3 linked regions of the Drosophila melanogaster genome follow. The gene in region 1 interacts genetically with each later gene. Each region holds a gene or a part of one and is shown in the gene's direction. Other genes may lie near its edges.

Region 1 (4,550 bases):
GCGCAGGCCTTACAGAGAGAGAAAATGGGGGCAACTCGAAATGAGAGCGAGCGCGAGTCCTGGCGAGAGGAGACTTCGGCAAATGCCGGCCACGTGACATTGTTGCACTTCCTGGCCGCGCGCTTGTGTGTGTGTGTGTGTGTGTGTGTGTGGGCGCTTGATAAGCTTGCAACGAAGCTATTAATCAAAACAGAATCAAAAAATCCGCTTCGCTGTGTGCGTGCGAGAGAGAAACACGTGCCGGCCCAGTTAACAGAGGTCCTTTAGCAGCGCTCTGCTAACAACGCCGGTTGGCAACAGCAAACGTTGGTTGGCTTGGTTGGTGGAAAACTTTCCACTCGGCCTCTCTAATAATAGATTTTATCATTGCCGAGTAAACCGAGTCGGTGTATTTACTTCGTGTAATTAATGCCTGGCTGCTTTGCGATTTTAAGGTGGTTTAATCGGACGATTAGGTGGCTAGACGCTGGTATCAATTGGCCATTTCGCAATTTGCATTTTGTGGTAATCCATTTTCATATTGGTTGTCATTCCCGTAGGGGCAATGAGGCCGTATCGTGCCCCCTTCTAGCGGCGTATTAAGTCGATTGCAAGAGTCTCAAATGTATTCCGGCTTTAGTGCTCAGCTTGTTTGTCCAACACTTGGCACGCACACGCAGCTCCGCAGGTACAGTGTACACCCTGTAATCGGGATCGTAGCGAAAGCATATATTTAATACATTTTTGATAAATTGTTTGTTAGTTTTCCCTACTCATCAATTATTAACGTTAAGTTGCCTACTTATGTTTGCTATTCGTATTGAAATCATATTATATTCAATTAATATTTACTTAAAGTAAACATTGCCTTTTTAAAAATATATATATTTTCGTTTTCTAAAGCTAGTTAATTGAGTACCCACTGTATGTGGCAGTGTCCTTGTACTTTTACATAATAAATCAAACCCCACCGAAAGGAACGGAAATGAAAGTAAGGCAAGGAAGAGGAAGGAAACGAAAAGAAATGCCACTGCGGAAAGCCAAGAAAAGAAAAGTGCATTTGCACGCTAACAGGAGCTGTTACCATTTCACTGATAAGAGCCGGCAAGCGCGAACAGCTGTTCGAGAAAATCCTCGGAGAGAAAGCAGCCAAGGATATCGAGAGCATTTCTCTTCGCTGTAAACGGGCACTGTAAAGGCGGCCAGTTGTTGACTGGGAACTAAGCCAATTGCACAATGTGGGCCGAAGTTGATGTCGTGTTGCTGCTGTTGCTGCTGCTGCTGCTGCTGCTGTGTGTGTTGCAACACGAGCAACTACAAGTGCAACTACACAACCCTTCGACTGCAAGGACTTCGGCAGCAACGAGCATGTATATGTATTCCACCGAACCCACCATGTACTGCGTTTATGTGTTGCTGCTGCTTTTGCCTTTGACGCTGCTGCTGTCGCCGTGCTGCGCCTGCTGCTGCTGCGTTTCGTTGGTGCTGCGACAGCAGAGTCGTTGCAACAATCGCAGCTTGCACATCCAGCAGCAGTCAGTTGGACGCGGCGGCTCCTTCAGCAAGGACGCACAGCTCACACAATCCCTTCGAAGGAAATCAGCAGCCGACATACCGAACGACCTGCCACAACATTCCAATTCAAATCCAATCCAATCCAGACTTTGAAGTCCTGTAAAGCGTTTTACATTCCGCTTACATAAATGCTAGAGCGCTGTAAAAATCGGCGCTAGAAACGCCAATTAGCCAAACATGTTAGCCATGTTTTAGTCGGTCCTTTCGCGCTTGACTTGTTTTGCAACTGTGTGCGTACGTTTGAGTGTGCGAGTGCCGCCCGATTTTGTTTGTCCTTTTTTTTTCTGTTGGTGTCTCACCGAGTGCCGTTTTAAGCCAAGATACTACAGACATACTAGCGACTAGCTAATACATATTAACTTGTTGTGCCAGCGTTTTGTGTGTGCCAGTCAGCCTCTGCTGAGTGCATTTTCATTAAAGTCAACAAGTTGCAGCCGCATAAGGTCAAATAAAAGCAGGTGAGTCTGTGTTCCCGGCCAACAAGAGCCAGGTATTCCTATGTAAAGTTACTTAAAGTGCAGGTGATATGCTCTTCTGAGAGCAGATTTTATGTTGTTCAAATTGTATTAAGTGGTTTTGTGGAATACGTTAAGGGCACAGGTACAAAACCAATATTAAAAAAAAAACATTTGTTTGCTCATTTTCTTTGTATAAATATTTATTTTAACTAAGTCTTTTGAAAATTTTATAATGTGGGTTCTAAAAATATTTAAAGTGCATTCTCACTATGTGCTATCTATTATGAAGTACGTGTTTATCAATTAGGTTTTATATTTAAAAATGTTAGATAGGTTCGAAAACGTTGGGGTTTCCAAGTTTTAATATAAAATAAATATATTAAAATATTTGAGTGAGTATCCAAGCAGTTAATATCTATGGTACTGCAAGAAAATTCACTACGTTAACACATTTAAAAAATATTCATCCATTCACATCAGTACAGATGTATAAAATAATTAATAACAGGTCAGACAAATATATGGTCCTTATTTACCTTTAATAATTACAAAGAATTTTTAGAAAATTAAATCATAGAATCTACTGACAGAATTAAGATATACCTAAATTAAATTACAATAAATTATTTTTCTAAACCACATTGAGGTGTTTTGCAAGAATACTATACTGCTAAGAAACATTCGGTTCAGTTATAACAACAAAATCTTCGAAAACTTTTAACTAGCAAATTAAATTACAACAAAACCTAAAGTTGGCTGAGCACAATTCAAATTTCAGTTTCTTATATTTTATTAGCAAATATCAGTTTACTTCATCTGCATTTGATTCAGTTTATTCAGAAGTTCAGCAGACCAAGGCCAATTGCAAACTGGCTAATCCGTGTTACCAATTTATATTCAATAATATATTTGAGTACTCTTACATCTCCCCCGGCCAACATAAATTTGGTTTTTAAAGGCACCCAAAAATATTTTGACAAATTATGAGGTAGGAATGTGTAGTAAATATTTCCAGAGATTAAATGACAAGTCTAAAGGGAAAATATATCTACGCTCTTAATGATCCTTTGTAATAACTACAAATCTGTGGGCCGGGTGCATCCTGGCCGTGTCCTGGCCATGTCCTCAATTTCGTTGAGTTACAAAAGGTTTAAGTAAGTAAGCAAAACGGTAGGAATCGAGTAATCGCTCTCAGGGGCATAGTTTAATATTGGATTTGTAATGGAAATCAATATTGCCCGAGGAAAATTTATGCAGAGGCCAACAAAGAAAGCAAACCATTCAAATTGAACCGGGCCAATAAAATTGCAGTGCGAAGTTTGCGTCCGAGTTTGATTTGAGTTGTGCTGAATCGTCAGCCTTGGCATTGCCAATTTCATTAGGGGCCATAAAGGGAAAGAGTCCGCTTGTAATTGCAATTAGTTTTATCGTAACTTGCAGTTAAATAATCAAAACATTTTCCCAAGCTTCCGTCCCCATCGTCCGTCCACCGAAAACTCTTTGTAATGCAAAACTTTTTAATCCGACGCCTTGGTTTGTTTACACGAACTGCCAGCGCCCCGCCCACAGCGCCCCCGATCCCTATCCACACTCCAGACAATAACAACAACGTTGACAATAAAAACAGGATTGACAGGATACACCCCAGGAAGTCGATACGCTTAATACCCTTGCACGAAAAGTGCCTAAAAATAGATGGGAATCTATTTCGGTAGAAATTAGGATGATTTAAGAAAGTTACTCTTATTATATGAGTTAAAATAAAGTAAAAAGCAGACCATATCAACTTTAAATTAAAAAATGTGAACTCAAACGATGCAAGAGTATATAATATTTCAGTTAATCTTATTATGAAACAGAAAATCAAGTTAGAGCTTGTAAACTAAATGGATTAGGAAAAAATCGGGAGTATATATATTAATTTTTATAATGATTTGGCAAAATTATATTTTAAATTTCATTAGATAAATAGATACATCTCAAAGGATTTCCTTCGTAGAAAAAAATTGCTTGAAGGAAATGCTGAATAAACTCTTTAAATATTTTTAAAGTCGCATTTGTTTAATACAACTCCTATACAGTTGAGCATATTCTGAATAGCACTTACAAAAAAGTGCTTACCAAAGTTACTAGTTTTACTTCATAAAACAGTACTAGTGCGGCTGCATTTTCCTGAGAGGCTTGTAAAGTTCTTGTTGCAGCAGTGCGACTCCCTTTCAGGGTATGAAAATAAGAAAAATTTGCATATTTACACAAGACAATTTACACACTCTCCCAGTCGGCTGACTGAGTGACTGAGTGAAGGGCCCCTGCGAGGCAGGGACGCAGTTTTCCAGCGGGGCGCGGGAATGCGAGATTGAGTGGGTGGATTGAGGTTATTTTGTAAATTGTGTGTAAGCCGAACTGCTGCGACTGCAGCCTGATGAACAGCCAGTGCCAGAACCGTTACAAAAGTCCAACAAGTTGGGAGGTGGGAAAAGTCGGGGGAAGCACGGGAAAATATGGGTAAAATATGGGTGGAAGTAAAAGGGGGGGGGG
Region 2 (7,886 bases), on another chromosome or scaffold:
TCGGTACACGCGCACAGACACACTGCGGCATTCCAAGTACATATTTTATATATATGCTCTTAAACTCTATTCTAACAATTAATGTATAGAACGGATTCAGAACGAAGCTATTTACAGCAAAAACAACCTGAGGGCGGAAAACATGGCAACTATCAGCATGCGTAAGAGAAACAAGTAAATTAATCTAAATGTTCTTTAAACTACTTACATGTATTAAACGCGAATTTGTGATCTTTAGCAGTGTGATCTTTATTGGTTGGGCTGCCACTGGCAATAGTATTTTCGACTAGAGTATACTTTAAGTTAACTAATCTAAAACAAACAGCTTAATCTAGAAGAACGGCTTGCACAAGGCAATGGTGTGATCCACTCCGTAGGCCACTTTGGTGACCTTTCCGTTGATGGCCGCCTTAAAGGGAAAGAACTGGTCCTTCTTGTGTCCCAGCCCCAGATGCCCGAACCTGTTCTTGCCCCACATGAAGAGATCTCCGTCCGAGTTGACGGCGCCCATGTGAAACACTCCGCATCCGATGGAAACCACTGTGGTTTCGTTGCTGAAGTCATTTCGTCCGAATAAAGGCGGCAACAGATGCTGCGGCTTGGATGTTTGCTCCACGAAGGGTCCGAAGCCGAGGATGCCAAAGCCCCAGGTGTACACCAGACCCTGGTCGTTGAGGGCCATGCAAAATGAGCCTCCCGCAGCCACATCCTTGATTTTCCCGATGGACTTCGTTAGTTTGAGAGCTCTAGGGATATTTATTTGGGTTTCGGCCAGCTCTGAGTCATCTAGCTGTCCGTACTCAGAATTGCCCCAGCCAAAGGCATCGCCCGCCTCGTTAAGGGCCAAAACGCAGTCCGAGGAGCAGCTGAGCCGCACAATCTTCTCCTTTTCCACATCTCCTCCAATCAGGGTTATCTGCCCGGCGGTGTGGTAGTTTCCCTGACCTGTTTGACCATCCGCACCCCAGCCACATGTGTAAATGCGTCCCTTTTTGGTAAGAAACATGCTGTGGTCCTGGCCGCACTCCACCTGGACCACCTCATCCTCCTTGCCGCATATATCTTCCTGCGATATCCTGTGGATCAGGGCACTCTTGCTGTACCGCTCCTCCTCTATGATGGAGCGGCCACATTGGCCGTACGAATTGTTTCCCAGGGTGAAAATGGTTCCGTTTTGGGTCAGAACCACCAGGTGAGCTCTACCCGCCGACATGCTCTTCACACGCATGTCCTCGTCTGTTTCTCCCTGAACTCTCGGCAGTTTAATGGCTGTAGGATAAATGATCACGTCAAGGTTGGCCGGATCATTGGGATTTCCCTTCACCTGGAAACCCAGTTGGGAGTCGGTGTTCAAACCGCTGCCAAAGAGCGTCTCTCCGTCATCTCTATTCACGGCGTAGACCGTGAACCCGTAGCCGGCGGCCACATCCGTGATTTCGTTGTTGTTGGAGAACTGCAAGCGGGTGGGATGGTGCACCATCTCCGTGTAGCGTTCCTTGGCCTTCTTCACGTTGGTCTGGAGACCGAGAGCGCCGGTTTCCTGAAAGCCCCACACGTAAACTCGGTGCTCATGGCTGTCCGTCGTCTTCGGTGAGTACTCCTTGATCTTCGACTTGTCCTGCGCCAGCACACCCCTCTTCGCCTTGGCGGTGTACGACCTGCTGATGCCAAGCACAATACCCCGAGTTTTCAGCATGGTATTTCGGGTTAAACCAACCATGTAATCCAAAATCATAACAAAAACGCCACCCGATATCGATAGACCCGATGACCGGACAAGTGCTGCACAGCGCGCAACGTGCTTATCGATAGTTCGCTAAGAAAAACCGCTGATACGCCACCTGACAGCCCTGGTCGTGGTCAATCGCTATCGCCTTCCGCACATCGAAATCGGATGGGCGACGTGAAAGAAACGGCTCCGGCAAAATCATTAAAATTTAATTAGTTAACCGCAAGAGAGCGCTGCAAAATTGTGCAAACAATTTGCCACTTAACGCAGTTAACGTGTGCGGTAATCAGAAGCGTGGAAAAGCGTTTATTTGTCAGGATTTGTGTGTTTTTCAATCGCGGCAGCAGCATATGTACACACACACAGGCTCACCCCCGCCCCACTCACACACACACACTCACGCCTAGGTGTATTATAATTAAAGTTGTGTTTTAAGTGTGTGTAAAGTGCAATAGCCCAGTGGAAAGTGGAAGTGATATAGAGTGCGTTCCAGGAGTTCCAGGAGCAGTGTCTTATCCCATGTCTTCCACTCCCAAATCCTGAGGATTGCCAAGGGTTAAGACCGAGAAATACGGACTCCGACTTTCCGGATAAGGATACGGATACGGATAAGGAGTGCCAGGATAAGGAGATCCAGGAGGAATATAGGAGTTGCCAGTCCAACCGCTTCGTCTCCGGTAGGTACACACAAAATATTCGGCTGCTCCTTTTTAGCTCCTGTTCGAATCTCTCACGGCTCTCTCTCTCGGCTCTCTCTCTCTCTCTCTTGACCTGCGCTCTCTCTCTTTATCTCGCCCTCGTCACCTGGTGGTGCGTAGTCCTTTGGCTCGGTCCACCACCCGCCCAGTGGGCGGTGCTGCAACCCTTAGCCCTCCGCTTTCCATCACCTTTTTTTGGGTAACCATGGTCGTGTTTACGGCAAACTGTGCCACCGATATATATGTGTGTACATATGTACCCTTTCCCTTGTCTAGATAGATGAAACAGATAAATCGTGAAGATGCTTCACTTACCATAAATCTATAATATGTTCATTGCTCAAATACTACTATAGTAGGTACTTGTGTTTTTCAAAAGCCTGTGCCAGGTACAAAAGCTTGTACTCTTAACAACACTGGGAACGAGTCCTGCCATCCTTTGCAGGACGAGAAGTCCACCCTCTCGCTGCCAAAAAGCCACCACCTCGCAGAGATTTTGCGCAGCATCTCTAAACGAAACGGCCGGCAAATGTCGCAAACTCCCTCGGCAACAAAAGCCAAAAAAAAAATACAAAATACAAAAAACAAAACCGAAACCGAAACCCCATTCGAATCCCATTCCCCAGCAAAAGCATCTACTTAATCAACCCGGGCGGGAGTGGACTCCCAGCTCCCTGAATGAGTGATCTTATGTAAACAGGCTGCCCTTTGCCTCCCACGCCCCGAGATCCAGATAAGAGTGCCCCACTTTCAGTTCCTCCATGGCTGCCCCATCCATCCACCGAAGTCGTAACTCAATGTTATAGACCCAAATGCTCCCGTTTCGGGGCCACCAATTCGTTCGTGATGGCTTTTCTTGGGGACCAATGACTATACTCCCTCGTCTGGAACCGATCTTCAACCAATACACAGACACAGCACGGGGAAACAAACTTTCCGCCTCATAAACTTGTGGGCTTGTCCCCCAAGCACGTGCAACTCTTTCTTTCTCTCAGCGAAAAGACGAACTGCTGTCAGGAAAACAATGAACGAGTGCACCGGAAAAAAACATAAATGTTTGTCATACGGGAAGCTAAGAAATCATACCACAAAGAATTCTTTAAAAATATATATTCATTTATTGCAGTAGCAGTAGGGAATCTTATCAAATCATAGTTCATAATATATTTTTTGACAATTTCTCCGCGCTAACGAACTTATCAGCAAGTTCCTTCCGATTTCTTCGGATTTTATCAGCAGTGTAATGTCAATGTCTCGGCTGTTGGGCTTATGCAAGCGCAAACAATAACAAAACAATCACCAAGCCAAAGAAATCCAAACACCGATCCGAATCCAACGGTGGTGCATTTCAGTTCATTGGCAGCCAGCCAGCCAGCCAGGCGTTTCATGTTTACCAAGTCCCCAAGCGAACCGAACTGAACCGCCCCCTTATCACTCCAGCATTTGCATAAATATAATCTTTTTCGGGTTCTTTCTCCGTTTCTATCTGGGTTCGGTTACGGTTTCACTCCCGCTTTCTCCTCTCAAAAAATAGGGAAAACACACAGACAATTCGCACAACAGTGAATCACTTTGCGACCAATGCTTCGGTTAAACAGGTACTTCTCCGTATCTCTAGCTAACGCAAAAACCTTTGACTAATCGATGGTAAAGTAAACAAAAACACTCGTTATCACATGGAGATTATTATGGCCAAAATTCGAACAGGAAGCACGATTAGAAGTTTACCGGCAAAACAAATTTATGCATTGCCTGCATTTCTTATTATATACGTATGGGTCAGTTGCTAATAGATATTGCACCGAAATGCCAGAATTGAATGGCATTAGAGCTCTCGAAAACACTTTCAGCTGACTCAGCCTCTCGTGTATGACCTAACAGTCATTGAAAAGCGAAACCAAGATTGGCCTAGAGTCAAAGACCGAGTAGAGCGTTTTCTCAACGTGGCCCACACTTATTGATTTTTAATTATCCAAAGATGGCCCTCGGCTATGACATTGACTTTGATTTTGTTGGCTCGCCAACCTGGCCAACGAACTCGGGAAGCCTCTCTAGAGATCTCTGGCCGAAATAACCTTCTGTGCCGCCCGCTAACTGCCTTATGTCACTCGGTAAATCTCGGTTAAGAAACCAATTTCCCAATACCCCCGACCATTCACGTTCGTGACTCATTGCGGTCGAATGTCTCAGTTGATTTCTGTGTCTTTCTTGGCCTGAAATGGCCCGGATTTTGAGTCTCTGGTTCTCCAGCCTCGGTGAGGCTGCCCCGTTGAACAAATCAATACCCGATGGCCACTTATTCGCTCGCCTGGCAATTGGATTCAATTGAGTGGAGTCAGTCGGAGGCAACTTTCACTTGCACAGATTTTAATTGCCCCACAACTGGAATGGCCAGATCCCTCAGCCCCCATATCCATCTCCCGCTCATATTATCATCATCATGATCATCACAACACAAACACTTCACTCATTCATCTTCATCGCCGGCTCGCTGACCCCAAAAACAAACATTCATCTCTCGGCTAATTTTGAGTTGATTTCCTATTTGGTATTTCGAGTTTGAGTACTTGCATTGTATTTTTTAAGCTAATCATTTTTACGCTCTTTAGCTTCTTCAGTGCGAAACAATTAAGCCTAATTTGCATATATCATTTGCTCTCTTTTTCTTTCTTTCTTCGTTCGTTGCTTATGTTATTGCGTTGCTTATGTTTACTTTGCCACGCCTACGCTTCCGCCCACGCTCACGCCCATTCGCCCCCTGAAACCACGCCCACAGCAATTATGCATTGGCTAGAGGCGATTTGCAGCAAGCTTAGAGTGCCAGCGAGCAACTGCAACACATAACCAAACCATCAAAGACTTGTTGTTCATCAACTCCAACCCCAACTCCAAGTCCACCAACACTGAGCCACCGCCTCTTGCCTCCAGGAGCATCACCAGGAGCATCAGGGCAGTCCCAGCTGGAGGAGCAGGAATCCCCCCGCGGCGGAGGAGCAGCCAGTCTGGAATGTTGGAACACCCCCAGCGGTTTGTGCGCAACATCCCCGACTCCTCAGCCAGTTCGCAGCAGTATCCGCAGCAGCAGCAGCATCCGCCACAGCTGCCGCAGCACCAGAATCTGAATCTCAACCAGAATCAGAACCTGAACCAGAATCAGATCTACCAGTACCGTCCCCAGGTGCCCGTGCCCGTTCCCGGCTCACCTGCCCATCACCAGCGGCACTCTTCGCTCTCCCAGCAACAGCAGTTGCACCACCACCGCACCCTGTCCACCGCCTCCTCCTGCAGCGCCCAGCACAAAAGTGTGACCTTCGGCCAGCCAGCGCTCGACTGCGGCGGCAACGGCAGCGGAAGCGCCAACGGAAGCGGTAGCGGCAACTCCTCCAGTGGCAGTGCCGCCGGCAACGCTGGAACCCAATCAATGGCGGGCAACATGAAGCACGGTGAGCAACTGCAACACAATAACCTCACAGCGAGAAGAGCATTGGGTGTAGTAAAAGGATCTAGGATTTGTATGCTAATGAATTTGTGGTTCTATCATACTGGCCCATTTTGCTTTTCTAACTGTGTGTGCACTTGGTACTCTTCTAACCTGTTCCTGTTAATCACTCCGCAGGCAAATCTCAGGACGACGTCTGCTACGTGGTAGCCAAGTACGACTATGCGGCGCAGGGTGCCCAGGAGCTGGATCTGCGCAAGAACGAGCGCTACCTGCTGCTGGACGACTCCAAGCACTGGTGGCGCGTCCAGAACAGTCGCAACCAGTCCGGCTACGTGCCAAGCAACTATGTGAAGAAGGAGAAGCCCTCGCTCTTCGACAGGTGCGTCAGATTCCTGGCCCGACTAAACCTAAGCGTTCTTCTTGCTCTGATTTCAGCAGAATTAAGCCCTCTATACCTGTATCTGTATCCGTATCCGTAGATGTATCTGTATCTCTATCGCGTTCAAATACCCGCCTCCACCTTTTGCTTTGGCTATCGTAATTTAACTTATAACTGCTTTCGGCTTTTGTATTTTGTATTTCAAAACAACAAATTCGTTTTGATTTCGTTGTCTGTCGAGCCCCACTTGCCCCTAAAAACTAAAGATCCACTAACACCCAAACCAACTAGGGCTAGTCTAACCCACTTTAAACCGCCAATGAAATCTAACCATAAAACTTCATCCCAATACTGATCGTGAATATTTTGATTTACGATTTCTGTGCAGCATTAAGAAGAAGGTGAAAAAGGGCTCCGGATCGAAGACACTGCCTAATTGTTCGCCTTCGCGACAGGTCGAGAGTCCAACCATGTCGCGCCGACTTCCCCCAGATCCCGCAGAGGCCATCGGAACGGCTGTGGTCAAGTATAACTATCAGGCCCAGCAGCCCGATGAACTTTCGCTGACCAAGGGCACACGAATCCTCATCCTGGAGAAGTCCAACGATGGATGGTGGCGTGGACAGAGCGGCAATTCCGTCGGCTGGTTCCCCAGCAACTACACAACGGAGGATTGTGATAACGACGGCGAGATCCACACCTACGCAATGGCCGAGAACGTGCTTGATATTGTGGTGAGTAACTGGACGTGTTCTCAAAATAAACATTCACATCATCTATGAGAGGTTGTCATTATTGGCTAATAACAACTATTTTCAAATATATAGGTCGCGCTGTACAGCTTCACGTCAAACAACGACCAGGAGCTCTCGTTCGAGAAGGGCGATCGCTTGGAGATCGTGGATCGGCCCGCCTCCGATCCGGACTGGTACAAAGCTCGCAACAATCAGGGCCAAGTCGGTTTAGTTCCACGCAATTATCTCCAAGAGTTGAACGACTACCTGGCCACGCCCTATCGTAATGCGAGTGCCAGTGCAGGAAACGGAAATGGAGGAGGAAGTAATGGCGGCGCAGGTGGTGGCGGAGGAAACGACTCCATGGAGCGGCGCAATGAGGGTAATAAGCCGGCGGCGCAATCTTCCGGCCAGCCAATCGAGCGGCCAAATCTGGCGGGCAAGTCGTGGTATTATGGAGCCATCACCCGCAGCCAGTGCGACACGGTGCTCAACGGCCACGGGCACGATGGCGACTTCCTCATCAGAGACAGTGAGACTAACGTAAGTGGAATTCGCAATTGAAGTGCCATAACATAGTTCCGCCCGAATTCTTTGAGAGTGTATAAACGAATTCATCCTTTCTTGCAGATGGGAGACTATTCGGTTTCGTTAAAGGCCCCAGGGCGCAACAAGCACTTCCGCGTGCACGTGGAGCAGAACATGTACTGCATTGGGCAGAGGAAGTTCCACTCGCTGGACCAACTGGTCGATCACTACCAAAGAGCGCCCATCTACACGAATAAGCAGGGCGAAAAGCTGTATCTGGTGCGATCGCTGCCGAAGGCCAATGGCACGTAAGCAGGTCCAGGACTGGAGCAGAGAAATCTCAGCATTCATATTACCCGTATTCAACAACACACAT
Region 3 (7,685 bases), on another chromosome or scaffold:
GTCTTCAAGCGCTTGATCTCCTCCTCGGAGTTCCGATAGGATTCCAGCTCCTCCTGGATGGCTTCGGCCACCGTGGGAAATGGACTGCCCTTGTGCGTCATCCAGAAGCGGTCGTTGCGGTCCAAGTCACAGGCCTTGGGTTTTTTGCGGGCTCCTAAAGAATAGGAAAACGTAGTTGGTGAGTCTCAGTTATTCAGCGCCTTGATAAAAGTAATTTTACTTGCCCGCACTAGCCGTCTCGTCCTCCACGTAGACAAGATTCAGTCCCAAGTCCAGTACATCGTGCACAAGCGCCTGATACGACCAGGTGTGATGGAGCGGCGTGGCTAAATCCATGTTCCTGTCCAGCAGCAGGAGCACAGGTCTCTGAAAGCTGAACACTCCGCCGCCGGCTTGCGTGGCATCCATGTGGAACAAATTGGCACGCGCATCCCAAAGGTTCTCGCGCAGCTTCTTCTCCAGCTTGCGTGCCACCATTTCAGCGGCACTGTTCCGCGGACAGCGGATGATGGGCACATTGCCCAGGGTCACAAACAGGGCGAAGAGCGAGTCTACAATGGAGTCCATCAGGGCCTCCATCTCTTCATCGCGGGTGTTGGCCCGGTTGATGGCGTAGTATGAAAGCTGATCGCTCTGCTGGTGCTTTAGGATGAAGAAGTCATCCTCCAGACTGATGAAGTTCACATACTGGTCGTAAACGCGATGGATGTTGGCCACGCAGCCGGCATGCAGGGCTGCGGCGGCCAGATTCTCGATTTTGCTGCGCGTTATGGGAGCTAGGAAGTTCAGGTGGTACACGTCGTACAGTCCGCTCGAGAAGTCCTGCTGAATCCTGTCCAAATTCTCGTCGGTGGGCAGGCAGAAGTATATAGCCGGCACATCCGGAATGGAGTCGCGATCCGAGTGCAGTTGCCTGGAGGTTAACCAAAGCTATAATTTCTGGATTCCTGGAGGATCTCGCACAACTTACACATGCAGCGTCACGCCCAACTCGCGCAGCTCCTTGATGGAAATAATGGGCGATATGATGTCCTGGCCAACGCGATCGTAGATAAGGATCTTCCACACGGGCTCGGCAGCTAGGGCTTTCGGCTGCTGCGAGTTCAAATTAAGCATCTGCTTAATGGCATCTGCAATGATTAATATGAAAATCCATTAATTAGGTTTTCCCTTCAATGGGGGCATTGTTTTCATAGTTTCTCACTGATTTGGCGCTCCCGCAGGGTCAGCATTATATAGTCCGTCTTTAGCCCGTCCTTCTGAGTTAGTTTCAGTGGATTTTCAACAATCTATGTCCGTTTTAGCAGCTGAAAAACATATTTTACAAAAAAACAACACGTCACAAGCGACGGCGAGGCAACGCGTTTTGGGAAATTTTAGTGCATAGTACAGGCATCAGCTGTGCGGCTGGTGTGAACGTATGCAGTGGAAATTCCAATATGAATATTTAAATACTAAATGAAAATGAATGTAGTCTATTTATTCTATAGATATAGATATGTGTGCCAGTGTAATGCAGCTATATTGGGTTGGTATATTTTCTACAATCGAAATTCGTAGGCTCCTGTTCGAGAAGGTTGGCAGCACCCTTTGGGATTACCGCACGGTCACACCTGTCAGCTGATTTCGAAAAGTCACGTTTCAGTCAGTTTCACCATTTTCTGCCAGTTATTTTTCGTTCGTCGACGCGAGTGGTTCGTTGTGCTTTCTTGTGATTTTATTTAAAAGTTGTCGGATCGCAATGATCTTAAAGGAGGAGCACCCACACCAGAGCATCGAAACTGCCGCAAATGCGGCAAGGCAGGCGCAGGTCCGCTGGCGAATGGCGCATCTTAAGGCACTCAGCCGCACTCGAACACCAGCGCACGGCAATTGCTGCGGTCGCGTCGTCAGTAAAAATCACTTTTTCAAGCACAGTCGCGCGTTTCTGTGGTTCCTGCTGTGCAACTTAGTGATGAACGCGGACGCATTCGCCCACTCCCAGCTGCTCATTAACGTCCAAAATCAGGTGCGAAATCGCAAAAAAAAATGGTTTAAAACACTTAAATCCCAACAACGCAAAACGCAACAACGACAAACAGCGACGCTGGCAGCGCTGCCCATCTGATTTTCGAACATCTCATTTCGAAAATTTGCGCGCCAAAACAAAACAAATTTAAAACGCGGGAGAATGAGAGAGCGAAAGAGAGGTGCTCAAGACAAATAAACAAATCTGCGAAAACAACAAATTAAATATTAAAAAGATAGTAATTCAGTGACAGTTATTACAGCTATGACAGTAGAATATGACAAGTATATGTATCTGAAATTTAAAATTTGCCTAGTCATATTGTAAAATACGCCAATATATTGCTTTTAGAATTAGCAAGGATTCGGTATTTCATAAACAATGCTTAGTTCGTTCTTAAGAACACGCAGTTCATCCAATAAGTTGCAAATGTAAAGGATTGCACACACGCATACACAGCCCACGTTGATTCGTGCAGCACACATGTGCACAACAAATCATGTCCCCTATTGATTTATGCAAAATACAGGATTCTCCGAATGGAAACATGTTCTGTGAGCTTGTACTTCGCCGATATCTAATTAGTATACCGTTAAGTAGGCCAGATAATCCATCGATGCCTGATGACCATAAAACAAAGCTCTATTCTATATGCTTGCAACGCCATTATGTACATATGTATGTACATGCATATGTCGCAGCGTTGACATTTTCTTGTGCCTGATCTCCCATGTTGAGTGAAGCGAATTCCAACCGGCGTGCGCGATCGTCTGTATGCAACTGATCGTATTTTCTACGCATCGATCTATCCTTTACACACGCTAGTGTAGTCCAACTAGGCGACAGCGCGACAACGCCGTCGCCTCACTCGTAACGGTACTTTGACGCCAGTCATATTCTTCGTGATAGTCAAATTCTAAGAATGACCTCTCAATATACCGAACTCATTGCGCAGCTGCGTCTTGCAAGCACAGTGGTCAAACCATGGTAATAATATGACAGACACGTACAGTGGTCAGAATACATCCGTAATGCGACATATACATATGTGCAGTTCAATGCCAGTATTGAAACTTTCACTTGCCTGTCGTTTCGTTTTTCCACTTTAATATTAGTTGGGTTTGTTTGACTGCCTCAATATTGACACTTTGCTTTCGGCTTTTCCATAAATTTTAGATTAGCTGGCCGAAAAAGCACCGGGCTTGAAATGAAGGCAGCCTCTCTCTTTCTCTCTTTCCCTATTTCACTTGCACACAGCGTATTTTCGTACATCTTTGTTTACATGTGACATCCTTCATTGTTCTCTGCGCTCTGTCCCTGGCCCCAAAATGTCCTGATGGCTCTCTTCCTTCGCTCCTCCATACTTCCTCTTCTCTTCTCACTTCTTTCGGCTATTCTTTGTTTACATGCGCCCTTGTGCAAACACACGGAAAACCCAGCAGAAACAAGAACAAAGCAGAAAGCATAGTTGTTGCAAGGGTCGAATCCCGATATACCCTATGAAATCCAGTTCTTAATCATACTAGTTCTAATAGTTAATTAGTCGACATTCTGTACCAGCTACTAAATGACATCAGTATTAAGATATCTGTAATCAGAGCAGTGAAATTAGTCTATACCAGGGTATCATAACAACAACATCACCCACATCCAACAAATTGGTTCATGTACACGTGTTGAGGGCAAATACTGCTGCTGTTGTTGTTGAACTACATTTCCAGTTGTCGTGGAATGAGGAGTTGGCTCCTCCGCTCTCATCTTCATACCCAAAACCCATCCTTCCCTTTTGCCAAAACCCATCCCACTCATCTTCGTTTCGTTTTCGTTGGCCCCCATGCTTGTCTTTTTTCTATTTTTCAACTCTCTTGACTCTAATTTGGTTCATGGCCGCCCAGCTTCAGGAGCTGTCATAGTTAATTTAAGTCCTGACAACGTAAGGAACCCCTCTGCAACATCTCGTCACTGCCTTTGTGCCGTATTAATATTTTAGCTGGCTAGGGGAGGGATGCCGAGAATGTAATTTAACACTTGTTGCTCTCTCTAATCCGTTTCATTTCCTGTTTTTCATTTTTTGCAGGGCGGCGAGGTGATCCAGGAGAGTATTACCTCCAACATTGGCGAGGACCTGATAACGCTGGAGTTTCAGAAGACCGACGGAACGCTCATCACCCAGGTCATCGACTTTCGCAATGTGAGTGAAGAATCCGAGGCTCTAGAGAGCAGGGCGAGAGACCCAATTGAAATTGAAAACCTCTTATCCATCTTCCCCTCAGGAGGTTCAAATCCTCAAGGCTCTGGTTCTCGGCGAGGAGGAGCGTGGCCAGAGCCAGTACCAGGTCATGTGCTTCGCAACCAAGTTCAACAAGGGCGACTTCATCTCCTCGGCGGCAATGGCCAAGCTGCGCCAGAAGAATCCGCACACCATCCGCACTCCCGAGGAGGACAAGGGCCGTGAGACCTTCACCATGAGCAGCTGGGTACAGCTCAACCGCTCGCTGCCCATCACCAGACATCTGCAGGGACTCTGCGCCGAGGCCATGGACGCCACCTATGTCCGGGATGTGGACCTTAAAGCTTGGGCGGAGCTACCAGGTGAGTGCTTCCCTGGGGATGTTCAGTGCGTGAAATTGGTAAATCTTTAAATGGAATATCCCTATAAGTAATTTTAAAGCACATTTATGGTTGAATGTTTTTCTTTTTAATTGTTTTCAATTTTTTGGATAATATTAAAACCGTTTGCGCTGCTGATTATTTAAAGTTCTACCTATAAAAAGTCATCGCGTGCGCTGCGCAATATGGTTGAAGTTTTGCACAAACAAAATTATTAAAACGAATCTATAAAAGCAGTACGTGCATATATACAATGAGGAAAAAGTTAAAGCATTCATTTCCAGTTTTGCCTTTTAAAGAGTTACCAATTATTAAAACAAAAACATGTTAATCGAAAGTTAGGAAAGTTAGTTAGAGAAATCCGTCTGAAATCTTGGTAGATGGAAAACTTCAGTACAGATATCGACCAGTTTTGAGGGTTCTTGCCACTTTCAAACTTTTTGTTTACGCTTTTGTTTCGCTTTCCGTTCGTTGTACTCCTGCTCCTGGCAGGCTCCTCGATTTCCAGCCTGGAGGCCGCCACCGAAAAGTTCCCGGACACGCTCTCGACGCGCTGCAACGAGGTGAGCAGCCTGTGGGCGCCCTGCCTGTGCAACCTGGAGACCTGCATCGGCTGGTATCCCTGCGGGCTCAAGTACTGCAAGGGCAAGGGAGTCGCCGGAGCGGACTCGTCGGGCGCCCAGCAGCAGGCACAGCCGACGAATTATCGCTGCGGCATCAAGACCTGCCGCAAGTGCACACAGTTCACCTATTATGTGCGGCAGAAACAACAGTGCCTCTGGGATGAATGACGACGCGGCGAGCTGCAGCTGATGCAGATGCGCTGCGCGAGGCGGCGGAATGGTAGCGAGTTTGGGGATGATGCCAGTGCCACCTGCCCGGGTGGCGAAACAAGAGCAGCAACCACGACCGCGACAATAACTGGCGGGGGAGCTGGGGGAAGTGGGAAGGATACAACGGCAGCGACAACAACGACAACCAACAAATTACGCCAACTGCTTTTGTTGGTCCAGCAGCAGATGCCTTTTGCTCTGTGGAGTTTTCCGGTCCATCACATTTCCCAGTCCCATCACCAGTCCCAGTCCCAACATAAGCCCAGCCGGCAGCAGAAGCAGCATCAGCATCATTCTCAGGTTGCCCCCACTTCGCATCACCAGTCATCATCATCAACACCACCAACACCGTCAACATCATCATCACCGCCATCATCATCATCGTCGTCGTCGTCGTCCGCAATGGCCGCCATCGTTGCGTGATAATGAACGCTTGAAAAACCCAACTTACACAATCCACTACACTACACATCCAGGAAAAAAACGAATGCTGACACTTTTTCCGCTCACGATTCAAGACGATTCTGGACGCGGACATTCGAATGCAAGCCACTGGGTGAAGGTTATACTACAGCAAAAAAGGAGTAAAACGAAATAAATGTAAAAAAGTGCTTCTGTATACTATGTATATATATGTATATTTAACGATGATTAGCTTTTAGCCAGCTTACGTTTTACGCTTATGCCGGATTTAAGTTTAGACCTAGATTAGGTGTCCTTATTTAATTAAATCCTAAGAGAGCTCGCAGAATTAAGAGTTAAGCACTTCTGAGACGTACTCCTTTGCCATTTAATCCTTTCCTACTACAGTGTGATCTTTTATCAAATCATTTACATTTCCTATGACATAGCTTTAAAACCTAAAACTTATTGATTTAATTATAGTGCAGCACCTTTCTTGTAATTATCTATCACTCTTTAGATCTTTCTTAACTTTTTCCAAAGTATTTGAGAATTTATAGCCATCTTCCTTCCAGCTTTCTTGCCTGCTCACCTTTCAAGTCCATTTTCAATTTGTTTACTTTGCCCGTTCACTTCATACTTTTCCATGTACATTGTGCGCAGCAATTTCGTTTCAATTACCCTTTTAGAGCGCTTTATGTTTCCTTTGTTTGCCTTTATCTCCACTTCACTTACCTTAACTGAAGCCTGATTAGATGTATTAAGATTGTTGGACACAATATCGCGTTCCACGCCCTCTCCACCCGTGTTGCGTTGAGCTCAAGAAGATTAAATAGGAATAGAAGTATAAATAAATTAAATGTGGCCTTAGCATATTTTACGAGCGGTAGAAAAAGTACATTCATTGAACTAAGGAATATGTATGTATGTCAGGCGTTGGCAAAACTCGGAATTAATTGTGCTCATAATAGTTGTAATAGAAAAACCACAAGAATAAGATATATGGCCATTTGGGGAATGGTGAATGTAGATGAAGAATTCTACTAACCAAAACGAATGCCGCATAAAAAAAAATAAAAAGCTTTTGCATTTTACCACTCGAAAATGGCTGTTTGAGATACCCACTCCCGTTTTTTTTCCTACTAATCTTTCCCTTCAAATCTAATCCTTATAAACTAGACCGTAAACACGCCTGCCTTTTTGCCTTTGACTTGTAACCTTTTCCACTTTGTATTCGAAACAAATGAAATACCTTAACGATGGCAAAACCTTAAGCAAATTGATTGATACCAATAATAAACAATACCAAGAACAATAATCTATTGTATAAATTTCAAGAACCTAGTCTTCTTAGAGTGTTAGAATGGCATATTTTCCTAAAAGCGTACTACAAAAGAAATTAAACCAAAATCGGAAGTTGTAAACCAGAAGTTTCGAAAACAAGAAAAACCAACGGTGATAATAATTTTTTCTACGATATAGGAAGACAGCTCCTTTGACTCACTGTATAAAATGTAATGGAAACGAAATTGATTAGTATTACTAAGCATTTAAAACTGGTAAGACTCGATGATCTGAATTGTGTGAATAGCATTTGCCAATATTAACGATTAATCGACTAGTCCTAACTAAGAAATTGAAATTAATAATTAGTCTTAATACAAATGCTGACGAATTCTACGTTTTATAAAAAAATTCAGTAATGAAAAAACTCGACACCGACTTTTATTGTGATTGGAATTTCTGTTTTAGGCTTATTTGCATTGATTTCGACTGCATTCGTTTAGCAATGCATTTTCCTAATCATTGAAGGGCTCACGGAATAGCCAACC

Evidence for each region.
Region 2: of fru (region 1) and dock, changing one suppresses a phenotype caused by changing the other (phenotypic suppression), as found in Drosophila melanogaster (one study listed by BioGRID).
Region 3: of fru (region 1) and oaf, changing one suppresses a phenotype caused by changing the other (phenotypic suppression), as found in Drosophila melanogaster (one study listed by BioGRID).

The regions. Positions count from the first base shown.
Region 1 is NT_033777.3:18,542,575-18,547,124, reverse strand, and holds the start of fru (fruitless), read left to right. Parts: upstream 1-1,538; 5' UTR 1,539-2,012; intron 2,013-4,550. UniProt on the Drosophila melanogaster protein: Probably acts as a transcriptional regulator.
Region 2 is NT_033779.5:824,102-831,987, forward strand, and holds the start of dock (dreadlocks), read left to right. Parts: upstream 1-1,867; 5' UTR 1,868-2,406; intron 2,407-5,203; exon of another isoform or gene 5,204-5,355; 5' UTR 5,356-5,434; coding exon 5,435-5,870; intron 5,871-6,043; coding exon 6,044-6,248; intron 6,249-6,636; coding exon 6,637-6,982; intron 6,983-7,075; coding exon 7,076-7,525; intron 7,526-7,612; coding exon 7,613-7,822; 3' UTR 7,823-7,886. Other genes in the region: CG3862 (uncharacterized protein), read right to left, coding at 332-1,696. UniProt on the Drosophila melanogaster protein: Adapter protein that links cell surface receptor tyrosine phosphorylation to downstream signaling pathways and effectors, many of which are involved in regulation of the actin cytoskeleton.
Region 3 is NT_033779.5:2,491,289-2,498,973, forward strand, and holds oaf (out at first), read left to right. Parts: upstream 1-1,666; 5' UTR 1,667-1,741; coding exon 1,742-2,008; intron 2,009-4,085; coding exon 4,086-4,199; intron 4,200-4,281; coding exon 4,282-4,600; intron 4,601-5,110; coding exon 5,111-5,409; coding exon of another isoform or gene 5,410-5,874; 3' UTR 5,875-7,558; downstream 7,559-7,685. Other genes in the region: Slh (SLY-1 homologous), read right to left, coding at 1-154, 225-913, 971-1,130, 1,205-1,232. UniProt on the Drosophila melanogaster protein: Vital for proper neuronal development and hatching.